2 linked regions of the Caenorhabditis elegans genome follow. The protein of the gene in region 1 purifies or fractionates together with the protein of each later gene. This does not show direct contact. Each region holds a gene or a part of one and is shown in the gene's direction. Other genes may lie near its edges. The genes, in order: F53C3.1 and fbxa-171.

Region 1 (8,308 bases):
AAAGTCATGTGACCAATTTGAAGGTTAAAATCAATTCGTTCGAAATCAATGTCACTGAGAACGTACATTTATTTGTGAAATCAGAGCATGGACCTACATTTAACTTCCGAACAGTTACTTCTGCTAACGGAAATATTAGTGATGACGTCACCCCTGCTAATGAAAATGAGAAGCACCGTTGGTACAAAAAAGGATTCGAATTAAGAAATTGGATTGAACATTTTCTCAGTGTACTGAATCATTCAAAAATTGATAAACTGAATTTTATATCCCAACAAGGAGAGCGAAGCAAGAATGATTATCTACGAGACTCACTGGAAGGCTTCAAGGTGGACTGCTTCACCGTTCAGCAATGCTCCGAAAGCTATCAACGGAGCATTTTCCGGAACTTTTCTCCTATTAACACGTTTATAATCTGTGCAACCGGAGCTGAGTCTACAAAGGCAATTTCGAGTGCTCTTCCACATAATCTGAAAGATTTCGGATACGTGTCCAGAGGTGCCACTTGGAATTTTAGCCTGGATAACTTACTTTTAAGCAACTCCCGGAATCTGGTGGTTATTGAAGCAAGATTTTCATTCCCTGACATCAACATGTTCCTAAAACATTGGCTCAACGGATCCAATCGACGACTTACTAACGCTTATTTTATTTATACAACACCGCTAGTTTCAGAGGATATTTCAAAAGGATTGCCTTTTAGCATTCCGTCCGAAGCTGAAATCTCCAAGCTTCCGAGTGATCTTATGGAACATCGAGAAACAATGTTCCAGTTGAAGAGGAAATTCGACTCAACCGCGACAATTGTGTTGAAGCAAAATAATGGTAAACACGTTTTTAACATGTTTGTGGAACATTTTTGAATAATAAGCACCGCGCAAATAAGAGCGCCGCTGACCAATCAGCTGTCTCGGCCACGCCCATTATTGATGGCTGATTGGTCGGCGCCTTTCTTTTACTTTTTTGAAATTCCTCTAGAACCTCCACTTCCCAATTTTGAGCATTTTAATATATTCCCCGTCTTTCAATTGTCAACTGATTTTTTTTTGCAATTTTCCCGCAATGTTCCCATTTTTAATAAACCGTTCATTAATTTAAAATGCTCAATTATTTCAAGAAAATTCAATTTATGTTCTTCCTTGATAAAATGCGTGGAATCCAAGTGGAATTCTTGCTTCTGGAATTGTGTATCTTGCGATCTCAGTCAGATTTTTAGCTTCAAGAATTAGGACGAACGGACGTTGGCCATCGCTTATCGTCATCACTGGGACGATGAGAATTCCTAAAATTTATGAAATTTCAAGTTTCTCAAAAACTTCAAAAGCTTTCAAAAATCTTACCGTCATCTTCCCGAACCCCTTCGGGATTGGGCACAAAAATGGGCTCTCCGCAGATTTGTTTATCATTTTCGCGACGCCACACTTTGTGATCTCCGTTCTCTAAATCGGCTTTCACGATTCCGGGAAGAGTTTCAGACTTTTGTGCTCCAAGTACACTTGAGCCATACACGTAGTTGTACGGCTTCATGTTGATCTTTTCCCAGTGATAACGAGGGAATTCCATAGCTGAAAATAGAGGTTTCGGGTGAGTTCAAAATTGTCTGGCAACCTGCCTTCGAGGTGAGCTAGGTGTTCAATCTACTCCTAATTTTAAGGCACCATGCCTACGCCTAGTTTCGAGGTACTCTAGGCCTACTCTGCGACCTATACCTATCTTCAACGCCTGCCCTCAAGACAACCTACGTCTGAGGTAGGCAGACACTCAGGTATACAGAAGTGTTTCTTTTCAACTTACAAATATCACAAACTCGCTTCTCCTTCAGTCGAATCTTCCCATCATCCTGGAAGATTGCAGAGCATCCCTTAGCCCAGCCCAACGGCTTCAGCAGATCATCACCCGGCTGGGCACCGTCTGGAATTGACAGAGGAATAATGACCCTGGTGAGGTACGGCAGGAAGAGAGCATCCTAAAAACAAAAAGTATAATTATGCCCCTATTAAAAATTAAAAATGCCTACGTTTTGGAAATTTCCCGTCTTCATGTTCTCAATCAACAAAGCGTCAAAATTCCCGGCTTGCTCAATTCTACAGTAATCCACTACCAGACATCCATCTCTTTCAAACGTGTTGGCATGATGGAATGTGAAGAATGGAGCCATTTTCAGCTTCAGAGGTACTTGCTCCCCGGTCTTCTTATTTAAAATGAAAATTTTCACATCTTTATCGGCATGCCATTTCATGCAATCCCGAAATGTCGTGGTGATGAACCTTTTCATAATAAACTTTTTGATATCAATTCGAATCGGTGACTCGAACATTATCAAATAATTTTCCGACATTCCAAAGCTATGCATATACGTTGGGTAGAAGGTCTCGGAGCATCGGATCTCGCCAATTTTCGTGGTGTGCTCCCAGGAGCGATCGCTGTCTGATTGTAGGTTTTTGGGGTTTTTAGTGACAGTGAAGACATGGGCTGCATCCGGTCCGAATCTGGAGCCAATGTTGTAGACGTCGCCGTTCTCATCGAACAGTTGATGAGCGGTGCACGTGTGAAGTGCCACGTATTTGGAGAAGTCAACCTGAAAAAAAGAAGGGAGTTTCTGGTTTCCGCGACTGGTCAAAGGTGCAAGGTAGGCGTATAGGAACAAGGCAGTAGGCAGGCATGGGATTGCACAACAGTAGGCAGGCGTGCAGCTACAAGGTAAAAGACATGAGTGGTGTAAGTAAATGGCAGCAGCAGCAGACTTGTAGAAACAAGGCAGTAGGTATGCAAAAAGGTAACATGCACTAGACAGGTAAGTATGTACAGGGCAGTATGTAGGCATGTAGGTAAGAGAATGTAGGCAGGCATGTAGGCCCAAGGTAGTAGGCAGGCGTGTAGGTTCACTTACCGGTTCCAAAGTATCCAGCGAATCGAGATCAACTCTATGCATATTCGGGGTCTCTGTACACGCGTACAAACCATCTCCGACTGGGGCGAATGCCACGTTGGCGTTATCATGAATACCCTCGCTTTGCACAAAACTTGAGAAAAATCTTGAGAAAATCGATTTACACGGATCCGGGAAGGATGCGGTTCCGAAACTTCCAGTCACAATTCTCTGCGCCTCCATGTTTTTTTTATAGTTTTCCGATTCAAGATAGCGAGCCGAGTAGTACATCTAAAACCAGAAACTCACTTATATGTAAATTTATATTTCCACTTACCTTCCCATCCTCAAAATGATATCTCTGAATGAATCCCATACCATCAAACCAATGCTGATACTTAGTATCCCCAATCTCAAACATTCCAGGTCCATTTCGAAGCATTGTTCCTTTGAGGTAACTTGGAACCGAGCCAGACGTTGAGCATAACTTAGGCTCGATCACATTATCGAAATTGTGGAAAAGCCGAGCGAATCCTTCCTTTTCCATGCTGTCTGGAAATGGTAAGGTTTGGGAAATAAAAATTATTCGAGCTTTTAAGTACGCCTCGCGGGCTCGGAAATCTGTAATATTTTTTCTAAATTAAAATTTTGGCAGTTTGAAGAAGCGGCCGACATCTCGCCGGTTCAGAAATTGCCTGTACTGATAGAAATAAAAATAGATACTCGAAACATGTAAAATTCAAGAAATAGTGTAAAATTTCGAGGATTTGAAGATGCAGCCGACACCTCACGGGTTCAGAAATTTTCTCAAAGTTCACAGACCTCCCCACCCGTAAATAGTCGGCTGCTATAGAAATTTAGAACCGAGAAAAGTAAAACATGTAAACTTATAATAGTCAGAAAATTTAGAAAGTTAGTTTGTCAAACAAGTAAACCGATGGCCGGTCTACGTGTTAGATAACACAATCAGATAGTGAAAAAAAAAGAAACCAAAAGTCAGTTATCGAAGAAAAAAAATGTAAAATCAAAAAACTAGTAGAAAACCCGTTCCAATTTATACCCTTTTCTCAAACTCCACCCATTTTTCCACGTTTCTATAACATCATATGCGTCACTCATCTGTTATCTAAAAAACTCCAAGAAAAATTGAAAAATTGCACTGAAAACATAGAGAAATAGAGTGTAAAAGTGGCTTGTTTACCTTGTGTATCTCCTCTCGTAGAAGGCAGAGAATCAGAGAACTGGGCATATACTCTAGGTCACAAAGGAGTTTGTGACGGGGTCGGCACAGAAAAAATAGAGAAAATGGTGTTTGGGGAAATGTGACACCGAAATTTCTTATGAGGTGACAATTAATCATTCTGGCTGGCAACGAAGAAGCCGGAAAACTGGAGAATCAGAAAATCGAAAAAAACTGAAAGTTTCTGGTTTATTATTTTTTGAAGCAGCCGACATCTCCCTGTTTCACAGTACCACGGAAAGTTCAAATTTTTAGAAAATTGAATATAGTTTTTCAGGGCAACTTCCAGAAAACTGGCATGTTTCATTTTTTATTTGTAGTCTAAAACTTTTTTGAAAATCGGAAATAAATAAATTAAATTAATAAATGAATACAAACTTTAAAAATTTAAAAATATTTACGTGATCACGTAACTCTCGTGGGTTTTTTTCAAAGGTCGTGTTTTCTTATCGGGACGAAAAATCTCCAAAAAATTTTATTACTTTATAATTGCACAATAAAGATAGAAAAATTCAATCAGGATGTCGCAAGAAGAGGAAGATGATATCAATTTCAAAACTGTAAGTTTTTTTTAAATCTTTGGAAGTTGCGTGAAATTTATATGCTGAATTTCAGGGATCCGAAATCAGCAGTAGCAAGGCCACCTACACCGTCGTTCGTCTTCTCGGAGAAGGAGGATTTGGTGCAGTGTACCTCGTCGAGCAAGCCAAGACCAAGAAGCAATTTGCAATGAAAGTCGAGAAAAAGATGGACACTAGAAAACACTCAAAACTGAAAATGGAAATTGCAATCTTGAAACTTGTTGGGACTTGTAAGCATTTCACAAAGATTGAGGATCGTGGGAAAAAGGATAAAGAAGGATATTTCTTTATTGTCATGCAACTTGTTGGCAAAAGTTTGTCGGGTTTGAAGAAGGAACGTCCCAATCAGATTTTCACGTTTGGTACAGGAATGGGTAAGCATTTTTTTTGTTAGATAAAGTGGTCGAAGCCTAAGCCTAAGCGTAAGCCTAATTATAAGCCTAAGCCTAAGCCTAAGCTTGAGCTTAAGCCTAGGCCTAAGTCTAAGGCTAAGCTAAGCCCAAGTCTAAGCCTAAACTACAAAATTTCAATTTTTCAGGCGTCGGAAGTCAATGTTTGGAAGCTGTTGAGGAGCTGCACAAGCAAGGATTCATCCATCGCGACCTGAAACCCCAAAACTATGCCAGTGGGCAGGATGATGAAAGACATCTCATATACATTCTGGATTTCGGAATTGCTCGCAAGTACCTGAACGATAAGAAGGAGATGAAGACGCCAAGGGAGTCGGTTGCGTTCAAGGCGAGTGTAGGCACATAGGCAGGCATTTTGAACTTAAACTATTTTCAGGGAACCATCCGCTTCGCCCCGCTCTCCTGCCACCGTTACACCGAGATGGGGCCAAAGGATGATTGTGAGAGTTGGTTCTACCTTCTCATCGACCTGATTCTCGAGGGAGGACTTCCATGGCGTCACTGCAAAGTCAAGAACGAGGTGCTGAAGATCAAGGAGAACACACGGAAAGATAACCGAGCGGCTCTGTACAAGGGTATTCCGCAGACCTCCGAGCTCAACAAGATTCTGGATTACATTGACTCGAGAGCCTACCAGGATCGTATCGACTATAAGTTCATCTACAAAGCGCTGGGAGAGGTAATATTATTTGGACGTTGACCAATCGGCGACGTTGACCACACCTCTAAATTTATTCCGACCAATTACAGGCTTGCTCCAACGCCGGATGTGACATCAATGCACCATACGACTGGGAGATGCCCAAAGAAATTTCTGGAACTAGTACTGAAACTGCTAAATCTATGAAGAAATAAATGTTCGAGATTTTGATTCTTTGGTAAATAAATTTGAGTGTTGATTTTTGTGTTGTTGATTATTGATTATTGAAACTGCCGAGTATTTTTAATCCAATTTTCACAAATTTTCAGACAAATTTCTTCAAAAACCCCCTGAAAAAGACCAAAAGTTGTTTTTAACTTCTGATTCAGAAGCTACTCATTCACATGATTACATGCTTCACCTCCTCATCAGACACAGCCCGCTAATTGCATTAAAATTTGGACAGATGAGCTTTTGAATGAAGAACTTGGTGACTTTTTGTGACGAGAAAACGAAGAAAGGGTGACTACATAAAATTTGGAAGTAGTTGTTAAAATTCGAAAATAAATCGAAAACAGGAATTATATTTTTGAATTGATGTGAGAGCTGAGCTATACGTCATAAGGTGCCTTTTTTAGAGGAGTTCCAAAATTAACGTAAAATTATTGAAAGTCAATAAATGAAAATCAATAATCATTAATTGAACATCGAGTGTTAAAAATCAATAATAAAAAATCGATTATTGGAAATTGATAATCGGAAATCGATAATCATTGATGGTCAAAACTTTAATTTTCAAAAAATAAATTTTGAAACCAAAAACTATCAAAGTTTGAGGAAATCATCAAAAACCGGGCAAGTAGGGATTAAAACGTCTGAAAACAAAACTTATTCTTTGAAGATCAGAGGATTATTTGTGAAACAGCAAACTCAAGAATCCAGGCGTCATTTCTCATAAATCTGGACTTATAAAGTTGAGCGGGTTCAAAAATACGCGGCAGCAGCAAAGATGAATAATACCTTTTTGATTTCCGGAAAGTTGAACAGTTCCAAAACAATTTTTGTTTCACGGTTTTAGTTCTCAGTGCTCCGTAGTCACAAACTCTAAATAATTCTAGAGCTCATCAAAAAGAGGTAGGCCGGTTTATCGACTTACCATGCATTGCCTAATTTTTAAAAATCTACAAAATCCTATAGTCCGGGATTTTATAATCTACGTATCTAACTGGAATTGGTTTCATTTTTTGGAAAAATAAGAACTGTATGCGAGTTAGCTTTTTTCGGAGCTTACTTTTCTGGGGTTGACTACCCCACTTCTAATAAAAAGGTCTCAAGAAATATGTTCCAAATTTGGGTCAAGTTTAAAAAATGTTCAGCCCCCATGTAGCTTCAGAGTTTCACTTGGAATATGCCGATTTTCAGTTGGAGTTACAGAGAATCCAGCTGGAGATTTCAATTTTCTGATGACGTTTGTTTTGAGCCACCCAAAACTTTTTACATTTTGTGTTCTGCTGAAAAATGCTCTCGAAACCCTAATGACCGCTTTTGCATAGGTCAGCTTGCAAATGTCATTTCTATATCTGTATAGAACCTTTCTTACGTAGCCTTCTCGAAATTTATGAAAATGGCAACCTTTTGCCATGCTACTGCAATCTGAACAAAAGAGCACACACCAAAATGAAAACAGGTTTAAAAAAAATCAGTTTATTTATTTTTACTAAATATTTACAACATAGAAAGTGCAAAAAAAAAAATGAAATCCGTAAATTAAGCCCATTTTGGAGAGGTTGACACAAGTGAGGTGAATCAAGGAGTACTGTAGCTTAGGAGGCTACTGTAGTTGAAGGAGTACTGTAGATGAGCTGGCGTCTTCTGAATCCACGGCGACAAAGGTCAATTGGACAAGTCATAGGTTCTTGGTGAATATGGAACATTTTGAGGAGAATCTCAAAGCCAAGAGGAAATCTTGCTCTTGAAAAAAACGTCTCGCATTTATATAAGGAACTCCTCTCTAAACTCCGCCCAGTTTTTCGGCTTGACTGGAACTCAGATTATGAGCCATCGAAGCTTAAAGCAAAAACAAAATAAACAAAAAGTGATAGATTGAAGATCAGAGCACTTTTTGGAGATAATAGGAAGATAATCTAATAAATGGATTTGGAAATAATCCGAAACAATTTGAAAAGGAAAACGTGGCGCTTTATTTTGCACTGATGATGTTTTGTAAGATGACACATATATCACAAATATATCTCTTTTAGTAAGTTTGTTAATATTTGATAATTCGAATTAGGTTACGTACACCCTGTTTCGTCACACTTTTGGAAGCTGTTTTTTCCAGCGAGGAATGTGTGAGTTCAACTCTCCACCACGGGAAAATTTTTTGCAAATTTTTTCGTCCCAAAAAAAAATGAAAAAAAAAATGAGGAAAATTCATGATTAGAATTCTGAGTTTAAACTGACTCAAAGAAATTAGAAAAATTTTGAAAATTTTTCAAGCCAAAGATGAAGGCAAGAATTTTAGAAGGGAAAATAGCTTAAAATCATAATTTCAACCCACACATCACT
Region 2 (9,646 bases), on another chromosome or scaffold:
AAACTCGAGTCCTGCTCATTGGAGTTTTCAGAAGAGTAGCCGTCTGATTTGATCGGTGAGGATTGATTGGAATGGATGCTCTTGGTTGGGCTCATCTGGAATAATTCATCGATTTAGCGAATAATATGTTGATTGGGAATATTAAATAATCGATAGATTTTGATTAATGTCACCAGTGAGAGAATTTGCTAAATAATTCGAGAGAAATTCGGTAAAAATTTTAAATAATGAGTATTTCAACAATTTTGGAGACTAAAGGCATACCGGCGGAGGTTTTGGGCAGAGTTCGGCGGGTTCTTGCAGCAGGTCGGAGATTTTTGCCAGCTGGTTGGCTTCTTTCTCGATTGATATGGTTGCCATCACGTCGTGCTGGGCAAATTCAATTGCTGCGTTGGTATTCGTAGTTCCGCGTTGCTCTATCATCTCGCTGATGAATTGGGGGTCTAAAAAAATCAATAATAATGATTTTTATATAATAATTTAGACCATACCTTCTCTTGTCTCTTTCTCCTCATCTAAAATCGCATCGGGGATGGTATTTTCACAGGAGATTCCTTTCGTGGGTACTTCTGCGAAGATATGATGATTTTCATCCTCCTTTCGTTGGTAATATTGATTTCCAGCTTCTTGAGTTGGCTCGGCACGAGGATCCATGTTGATGGTATGATTTCCGGCCTTTTCTCGTTGTTCTGGAATCAAATATTGATTAATATTGATATTAAGGGCGATTAGAGAGTTTAAGATTGTTGAAAACTTGATAAAATTGATTTTTGAGGTGACTTGCAGATTTTCGAAAAGTTTCGAAAAGTTTCGAAATTCGTTTTTCTCCGATTTTTCCAAGTTTTTCGGAGAATTTCAAGTAATTTTGATGTTACATTACAGGGCCACGCGTATTCTCGCTTAGAAATCATCGAAATAATTCAAGAAATGGGGAAAATCTAAAATTATAACGAAAAATCCCAAAATTTTAGGCCGAAATCGAGATTTCGTCGATTTTTTCGATATTTTTCCGAATTTTCTGCATAAATTTTATGAAATAATCACGTAAAACTCACTTTTTGGCATTTTCGACTCGAAATCCGTGCTGGAATAAGTAGTTCTGACGATAAATGGCAGCTGTTGGCCTAAAAATTGAAAATATTTTCATTCGAAATTGGGGGCGGGGCGAAATGTACGCATACACCGCACGTCAGGTTGCACAGAAAAGTCTACCGTAGTCACGCGTAAACAACGAATTTTATCGGGGTTCAGTGGATTTTAATGGGAATTTTGCATGATTTTCATGAAATTTTCGTGAGAATTGATGAGAAAAATAATAAATCTACACAATTTTGAGCAGATAATCGATTTTGAGGCATTTTTGCCTGATCTTCTTAGCGATACAGCTCGATTTAGTGAAGTTTTCTACTAAATCATCGATTTGCATAGATTTCTCGATTCGCTTGAGAGTTTTTTCGAAGTCAACGGAATATTTCCTCGTTCGGATCATGTTGAGGATACACTCGATGGATATACTTGGATAATTGAGTAATTTGTTCGAAATTCAGTGATTTCTAGGTACATCAGAGAGGAGAGAGCGGTCCGACGGGTTCTTTTTTGTGAATAGTTGAAATCAAGGAGAGTTTCAGAATAAATCTTCCGCTCATTATCGATTTTTATGCAATTTTGGTATGGATTTTTGAATAGAAATTGGATTTTAATTGATTTTTTAGGTAAAAAAAGGAATTTTGATAGAGTTTTTTGGAAAAATGGAATTTTGAAGATAGATTTTGGTATAAATTTGGTAATTTTTGATATTTTTAGACGAAATTTTTTGCATTTTTAATCGATTTTTGAACGAAAGATTACCTTTTAAACGTCGATCCTTGTCCACCGGTTCGATGCACCATGTCGAGGGCGTGTAGGATGGTAGTAGTCGGTATCGATCACGCCTCCGGTACCTCTCTCTCTCTCTCTCCGTGTGTCCCGATAAAGCATCTGAATTGTGTAAGATAAGCGGTGTATGACGAACAAAGGAATACTCAAAAACCTATTTATTATACAACCTCTCCCGTGTGGGTAGAGCAGGACTCTAAATAGGAAAAACAAGTAAAATGAGGGAAATACAGCAAAGAACATATAAGGATGATATTAGAAGTTCTTAAGATGGTGAAAAACCCTCGTCTGGCGAATATGATGGTGAAATGATGATAATGGGTCATTTAGACTGGTAATAGTTCAAACTGTTATTAAAGATATAAATCTAACGAACATGATGGTATATCTGCACGTGAGGGAAAACGATACGTGGAGATTACACCGGAATTGGTATTCAATTACGTCACAATTGACGGACATATTCGAACTCCCCGCGGGCGGTCGGTGGACTTGGCGCGATGCCAAGAAGTTAGAGACGCGTGGGTCTCGCCGCGAGCGCGCTACCATAAGGTGTTGGCGCGTGATTTGAATACGAATATTTATAGATATATTTATATCTCGGCGAATACTGAACGGATTTGAATGAAATAAAATGTAATGAAGAGATAATAATTGGAGTAATGCTCAACGGTGCGGTCGAGCTGATATAGGTTAAGAATAGTGGGCTATTCCGTAGAAACCTATATCAGAGCACTGTTAAAAAGGTTGTCGAGATTGACCTCGAAGGGCTGAATCGACAACACTAATAGAGAATATACGGTATATATAACAACTGATTGTTCCATTGTAGTAGAACTGCAGCTGTTTCTGTATTAATGTAAGAATTTTTGCTCACCTGGGAATTATTGGTGTAATTTGCATCCCCACATAATTAGTTGGTCCTCCCTAAAAAACTACGCTCTTAATTAGTAACAGTGTTTTTGCATTCAAACACAAAGATTTAAGTGATCATAATGAAGTAGAAAAGGGTTCCCAACTCTGAAATTAACAAAAACTTAATTCACTCTGCTGAAAAATTGCGAAACAACTCACGGAGATTCTGCTTTTTCTTCACATTTTTTCCATTCTCCTACTTCTAAATTTTTTTCAAGCTGATCATCCATTTTTACTAATGTTTAGTTTTTCGGATAATCTGAAAAACGAACTAAGAAAGTCGTTTCTTGCTAAATCAAAAAAATTTAAATTGGAATAAACTATTACAACGAGAAGCATTTTTTCAACGCGCTATGAGAAAACGAGTTGTCACAGCGGTTTTTTTAAAATCAATTTTATTGTTTGCGTTTTTCTGTTTGATTCTCTTTCTTAACACGGGAGATAAAAACGAAGTTGTACGACAAAGAGACTGAAGAATTGCAGAAATTCTTTTTTCATGTTCTCTGAAAAAATGATGATAAGTCGAACGAATGGAGAATGTGCGGCAAATACATACTTTTTAATGAAAAATGCAGGGAAAGTAACTCATAATATTGAATACAATTTTTAGAAAGGAGAAGATCAAAAGCCAAACTACATATGTAAAAACAAATAGACGGAACCACTTTAAAATAGTCTTTCAAAAAATAAATTGAATTGAAATCGAGAAGTAAAACCACGAAAAATACAAAAAGTCTTTACTGATTTGCCGTAGATTTGCCTGATCTTTTTGGGGTAATTTCTTCTCTTCGTATTTATATCCCTATTTGGATTGCGTGTTTTCGCCAAATACACTTGGTTTTTGATCAGAGGAGATAATATCAGTTCGTATACAACAACGCCAAGAGACTAGAGAGACTGAGGAATCAAACCAGAATTAGGTCTACCAAATTAGCAATATCAAAACTGGAACAATGTGACTTGGAAAATTAGACGAATGTGGCTAGCAATATATCACAAAAATGTTTGAAATCTTTTGTTTGTTTCAGAAAATTGTGAGAAATTTTCAAGAACGTCCATTGGGATGAAATATGCGCAAAAATGTAACTAAGATCATATTCTTACCATTTCTTATAACAATCGTCTTCCATTTTTTGGAATTTCCACTCAATGTTTGGGAAATTGGTACACCATTAATATCTGGAAAAATCTCGAAAAAGCTTGCCGGTAGGCCCATATCGCCGAAAATTTGAAAATCCTGAAAAACCCTGAGGATGGAACAGGGTGTTGTAACTATTTGAATGGGCGAGTGTCAAAGAGACGTTGGTAAAACTAATACAAACAAATTTATTTTACAGTTCATCAGCTAGAAATATATGAAGGTGGAGCAAGTAGTTGCACAGAGTTCCATTCCCCTCAGTTTGTTTCCGGATCTGCAAGGACATCTTATTTAGGCCAGTTCAAGAATGCAATTGCTGAAGGACATATAAACCCAACAAAAAAAAATGTTTTATTGCGAAACAACATGCTCGACTGTTCTCCTTTCTCTGACTAACTCTCCAGCAGTGCAAGTGCCCTCTAACTCCAATGTCAATACTGAAGAATTCGGTGAAGATATATTGCTAAGTCTAAAATTTTGATGTAATTTTTTTGCCGCGCGCATCATATCAAAATGACTTCCACCGCTCAAAAACCTTACTCCAAAACCTTCATTCGATCTTGTATTTTCTACGAAGTGCTCCAGAAAAAGACTGTGAATGAAGCCTATGAAACAATTTGCAACACCTTGAAGGAGAAGATTGCCTACAAAGAATTTGAATATTGGTTTCATAGATTTTATAATGGTAATCATGACTTGCAGGACGATAATAGGCAGATTGAAGTACGAAATTCCAATGATCTGCGTTGCTCGATCAATCCACCATCAGACGTTCCACACAAAATTTCCGAAAAAGAGTGGTGCAGGAAGTTCGTCGAATATTTTAATGGGTAAGTGCTAAGCTTCTTTACAGAAAATTTTAATGTTTTTCAGTGAGCCACAAGAACCTTCCCTGCAGAATATGCCGGAAAAAGTTTGGAATGAAATTTGTGCCAAAATGGAACTTTGCGATAGGTGAGATTTTATAAAGAAAGTATGATATTTACCGTGTGGTCATAGACTTCTATACACACCCCATGTAATTCAAAAAAGGTCCTTATGCAAAAATTGTAGCAATAAAGTAGATATGAATTATTCAGATGAGTTTTTCCATCAAAGTATTTTTTTTCATCGTCTTTTTATGAAGTTTTACAACTATAGAAACACCTTGAAATGTCTCCGAAAAAATGAATTTTGGGAAGTTTTCAAAAAACAATTAAAACAAATGTTTGACCAAAAATGTTTTTAACGATTTCTCAAATGGCATAAATTTCATCTAAAAGTCAATATGGTTTCAATCCAAAATTTTTCAAGATTCGTGGCCAGAAAAGTTTCGCGCATTCTCCGTGACAAAATTGACCAACAAGAATTTCATTTTAACGCCATGGGAATATGTTTCGAAAAAGATGAAGCAAGACTATTTTTGAACGAAAGAACCGTCAACTACTGCCCAGTACCAAACGGATGCACAATTATCTACGAGAACAGAAAAATTCAAATCAAAGGAACAGATTATCGGAAAATAGCGCTTCAAGATTTCAATACAGTAGTGACTAAAGACGCACGAACATTTTCCGTACTTTTTGAAGCACAAATGTCTGAGCAAATTCGGGAAAACATTTTCAACGATGTATTGAACGTCTTGAGATCGATGAACAAATTACGAGTCCGAAAACTAGTTTGTGAATTGAAAAACGAAGAAATCGACGCAATCCTGCCGTACTTCGAGCCTAAAACGCTCGAAGTTGTTCACTTTTTTGCCTCTTCTACAGACGGCCATAGCACAAAATTAATGGATACAGTTCAGCTGAAAAATGCAAAAGCTTTAATTTTTGACAGTGACACTTGCTCCATGAACATTGAAAAGTTCTTCCATCTAGCTTATTTTGACGTTACTGTGGATCTTTTCGCAAAAGATGATGCGATTAAAATTCGAGATGTAAGTTTTGAATGGTTCAGGGGTTAGGATTAGGCTTAGACTTAGGTTTAGGTTTAGTCTTAGGGTCAGTTCTAAGCATAATCTTATTCTAAACTCAGGCTTAGGTTTAGGCTCAGGCTTAGGCTTGGCGAGCTGACGCTTGCCAATCTAACGCTCGCCACTGACGGTATTTAGGCTCAAGAATTTCCCGTTTTTTTTTAAAATTTTTGAGAGGGTTCCAGTTGGCCGATCAACGCGAATTTTCACAGAGAGACGTATAGGTCACCAAGAAGCTTAAGTCTGAAGTTTTTGACTTAGGCTCACGCTTGAGAGTAGTATAAGTCCCACACGACACCCCCATCCCACACCAGACCCCCCTATTGACCTCTCCCAAAATGGGGTGTCCATCTATGGATGTCCATTTATGGATGGCCATCGTTTTTTATTGTTCTGTTGTATTGATCTGTTTTTTTTTTCGTTTTTTATGGAACTGTTTTTTATTAGAAAAAAATGTTGTACTGTATGGGAGAAAATCTGAAATTAAAAAAATATTTGAAATCGAGTATGTGGAATAAAATGTTTTCATTTACATTTTTGATATGTTTCATTGTGCACGCCTCCTCTCTATTACTCCGCCCCACTGCACAATCAAAAAACTCATTCTAAAGAAATTTCTTTAATAGTGCACACAGCTTTCGGATGACCTAAGTTTTCTTGCAAGCTCCATATGAAGGGCCAGGAGTTATGACTTTCAGTGTAGGGGCTTGTTGTCGTGAAAGTGTCAACTTGGATAATGATGTTCTAAATTTCTTTAGACTGACTATGAGATTTTCGATTGTGCAGTGGGGCGGAGTAATAGAGAGGAGGGGTGCACAATGAAACATATTAAAAGTGTAAATGAAAACATTTTATTCCACATACTCGATTTCAAATATTTTTTAATTTCAGATTTTCTCCCATACAGTACAACATTTTTTCCTAATAAAAAACAGTTCCATGATAAACGAAAAAAACAGATCAATAAAAAACGATGGCCATCCATAAATGGACATCCATAGATGGACACCCCATTTTGGGAGAGGTCAATAGGGGGGTCTGGTGTGGGATGGGGGTGTCGTGTGGGACTTATACTACTCTTGAGCTTAGGAGTTTAGGCTTAGGCTTAGGCATTTGCTGCAGACTTTACGCTTCAAGTATAAACAATTAACATAGTTTCAGATTTTGATGAAATCCGACACTTTCAAATATGCAAACTTCGAATCCGACGACTTCGATCCAATTGAAATTGCAAATGTATTCGTACCAGGATATCAAAGCAATCAATGGCCGATAATAAATTACACACGACACAACAAAAAATTCCTTTTGAAAATTACTCCTAATTCATTTCAAGTTAAACGGATAATATAATTTTATCGATTCGGATTTTTATAAAATAACTTTTAACTCTTTTATGTTGTAGCAATCATACATATATTTTTCAACAGTACATAAACAATACTGTTCAGCTTGTAATAGATCGAATTTGGACAATATGCTGCTCTGAGCTCCATCCAAACATTTCCTTGATTTGCTTTCGGATCTGAATATCCCAATTACTCCCTACAACCTTCACAAGACTTACAGCTCTACTAAAGCACACCAGAAGCCATGGCTGTAGAAGTGATTTCTGCCAAAGAACGAGGTTCAAGCGCATTCCTGAATTTCTAAAGTTTAACCATAGTCCAAATATCATTGTTTTTTTTATTACTCAATATCATATCTCAAATCATGATTCCCAGTTTGGAATTGATTAAACCAAAACTCAAAAGACTCAAATTCAATGACACCATTCCCAACTTTGTCGCAGAAGTTTCTATATGCCACTGTAAGCATCTTCCCGTGAAGATGCTCATAAAGGATACACGCGCGGATTGCAATTTGACTGTTTGGTATAGTTACAGCCACTTGGAATATTGGTCTTGAAATATTTGTGTTTTAAACTTATTAATTTTCAGAAGATAAGCAGTCAGAAATAATAATTGTTTTAATTGAAACGGAAATTGTGGCTATTTATGTTTTAATGAAGAAACTTCTTCTCACTCTGGAATTATTGGTGTACGATTCACGGGCATCCTTTCCGGTGAACACGACATTCCCTGAATTTTTTTTTGTTCAGCTTTAATGTTTTTCTCTCAAACCAAAATATCATTCAATGAATCATGTTTTTTGTGACTTCCAAGATATTGATTTTTCTCACTTTGAGACGAACAAAGCGTGTGGACTCTGAAACATTAAAAAAAACTAACTAATTTTGCTTGAAAATTGCAGAACAACTCACGGTGATTCAGGTGTTTTTTCACAGTTTTTCGTGGTATTTTTCCCAGAGGACTCATCCATTTTTTACAACTTCAACTATCTAAAAGAATTAACTTGTTATTGTGGACATACTGCAAAACATGCATTGCTTAAACCACGAGCAAAAATTGAAATTGAGACAATAAAAAACTGAAAAATTTTGAAGAGAAATTGAATTGAAAAAAAACTCTCCACGATGTTTATTGTAAAACAACATGTGTGTATTGAAAAAAAAAACTCTTATCATTTACCGTTTTCGTTTTTTCTGCTTGATTCTCTTTTTTAACACGGGTGATAAAAACGAAGTTGTACGACAAAGAGACTAAAGAATTGCCGAAACTCTTTTTCCATGTGCTCTGAAAAATGATGATAAGTCGAACGAATGGAGAATGTATGATTACTTTTTATGAACAATTTACTTTCTTATTTTTAAAATCAAACGTAATTTCAAAAAAATTCCAACAACATAGGAACAAAAAAAAATTAAAACAGATTATATTAAAGTTTATCAGGTTGAAACATATCATGTGTGAACAATTATTGGCAGAGAGTTCTGTTCTCCTCATTTTTCCTTCGGATCTGAAAGTTCATATTACTGTGCCTAAGACGCTTCACATTGATACTGCAATTTCTAGACAAAGTAAAACACCCAACAAAGTAAAATTTTTAATCAGATACACTTAATAATTTCAAAGTTCATTGTATCAAAATGAATTCTGAACTCCGACTCTTCATCATTGTAGGTGATTGATCCAGACGTTCCTCCTGAATAATTTTGCTCAAATACGTTCAAAATTTCAATTGGATCATAGTTGAACATTCTGAAGCATCCACGTTTAAAATTACTGGACTTTAGCAGTTTCTATAATAATTCTTTGAATAAAAATGTTATATTAGATCTTTGCTAACCTCTCGGATCAATACCGCATCTAACTTTGATAGAGATTTCAGGGAAACGTCAAATCTCGAGAAGCGAAAAAAATTCTCAATTGGCATTGCAAGTATGCAGTTTCGGCTGCTTTCAAATACTCGGGCTTGTTTCCATTGGTTCATATGAATTAGCAATTCTATACCTTTGCTGCCTGTTGGTGAGTTAAGTACAATCTTTTCAAGTACTCCTGGTTTAAAGTTCCTTAGAACGTCATAAACTTCCTTGAATTGGAATCCTTCAAGTGTGATTTTCTCTACAAACAAACATATTGCCTTTTTGACAACAGTCGTGATAGTTGTGTAGCAGTTATGATAATGCTCAGATTTTCCCAATGCCAACGTTAAATTAAGTGTTTTGAGCTTCAGTGTCTGGTTTTGCATGACCACTGACCAATCATGCAAAGCCATTATTGTATAGTTTCCACCTTTCACAAGTTTTTCTTGATCATTGAGCAACAAATTACAGTCATCCTTTTTGTCCTGATAGATCACTTCCTTTTCATCAAATTGCAAAATTGATTTTGTATTGTAGATTTTTAGACTAATTTTTCGGA

The links.
Region 2: the proteins of F53C3.1 (region 1) and fbxa-171 fractionate together in Caenorhabditis elegans (co-fractionation; one large-scale study listed by BioGRID). This does not show direct contact.

What each region holds. Positions count from the first base shown.
Region 1 is NC_003280.10:3,907,417-3,915,724, forward strand, and holds F53C3.1 (Protein kinase domain-containing protein), read left to right. Parts: upstream 1-4,599; 5' UTR 4,600-4,630; coding exon 4,631-4,669; intron 4,670-4,724; coding exon 4,725-5,064; intron 5,065-5,228; coding exon 5,229-5,428; intron 5,429-5,476; coding exon 5,477-5,779; intron 5,780-5,850; coding exon 5,851-5,955; 3' UTR 5,956-5,969; downstream 5,970-8,308. Other genes in the region: fbxb-103 (F-box associated domain-containing protein), read left to right, coding at 1-863; bcmo-2 (Beta,beta-carotene 9',10'-oxygenase), read right to left, coding at 1,128-1,282, 1,341-1,565, 1,795-1,966, 2,018-2,578, 2,891-3,160, 3,207-3,416.
Region 2 is NC_003283.11:17,560,799-17,570,444, reverse strand, and holds fbxa-171 (F-box domain-containing protein), read left to right. Parts: upstream 1-4,441; coding exon 4,442-4,758; intron 4,759-4,801; coding exon 4,802-4,882; intron 4,883-5,221; coding exon 5,222-5,846; intron 5,847-7,043; coding exon 7,044-7,235; downstream 7,236-9,646. Other genes in the region: C38D9.2 (RING-type domain-containing protein), read right to left, coding at 1-95, 265-443, 492-689, 1,056-1,065; fbxa-172 (F-box domain-containing protein), read right to left, coding at 8,833-9,024, 9,072-9,646.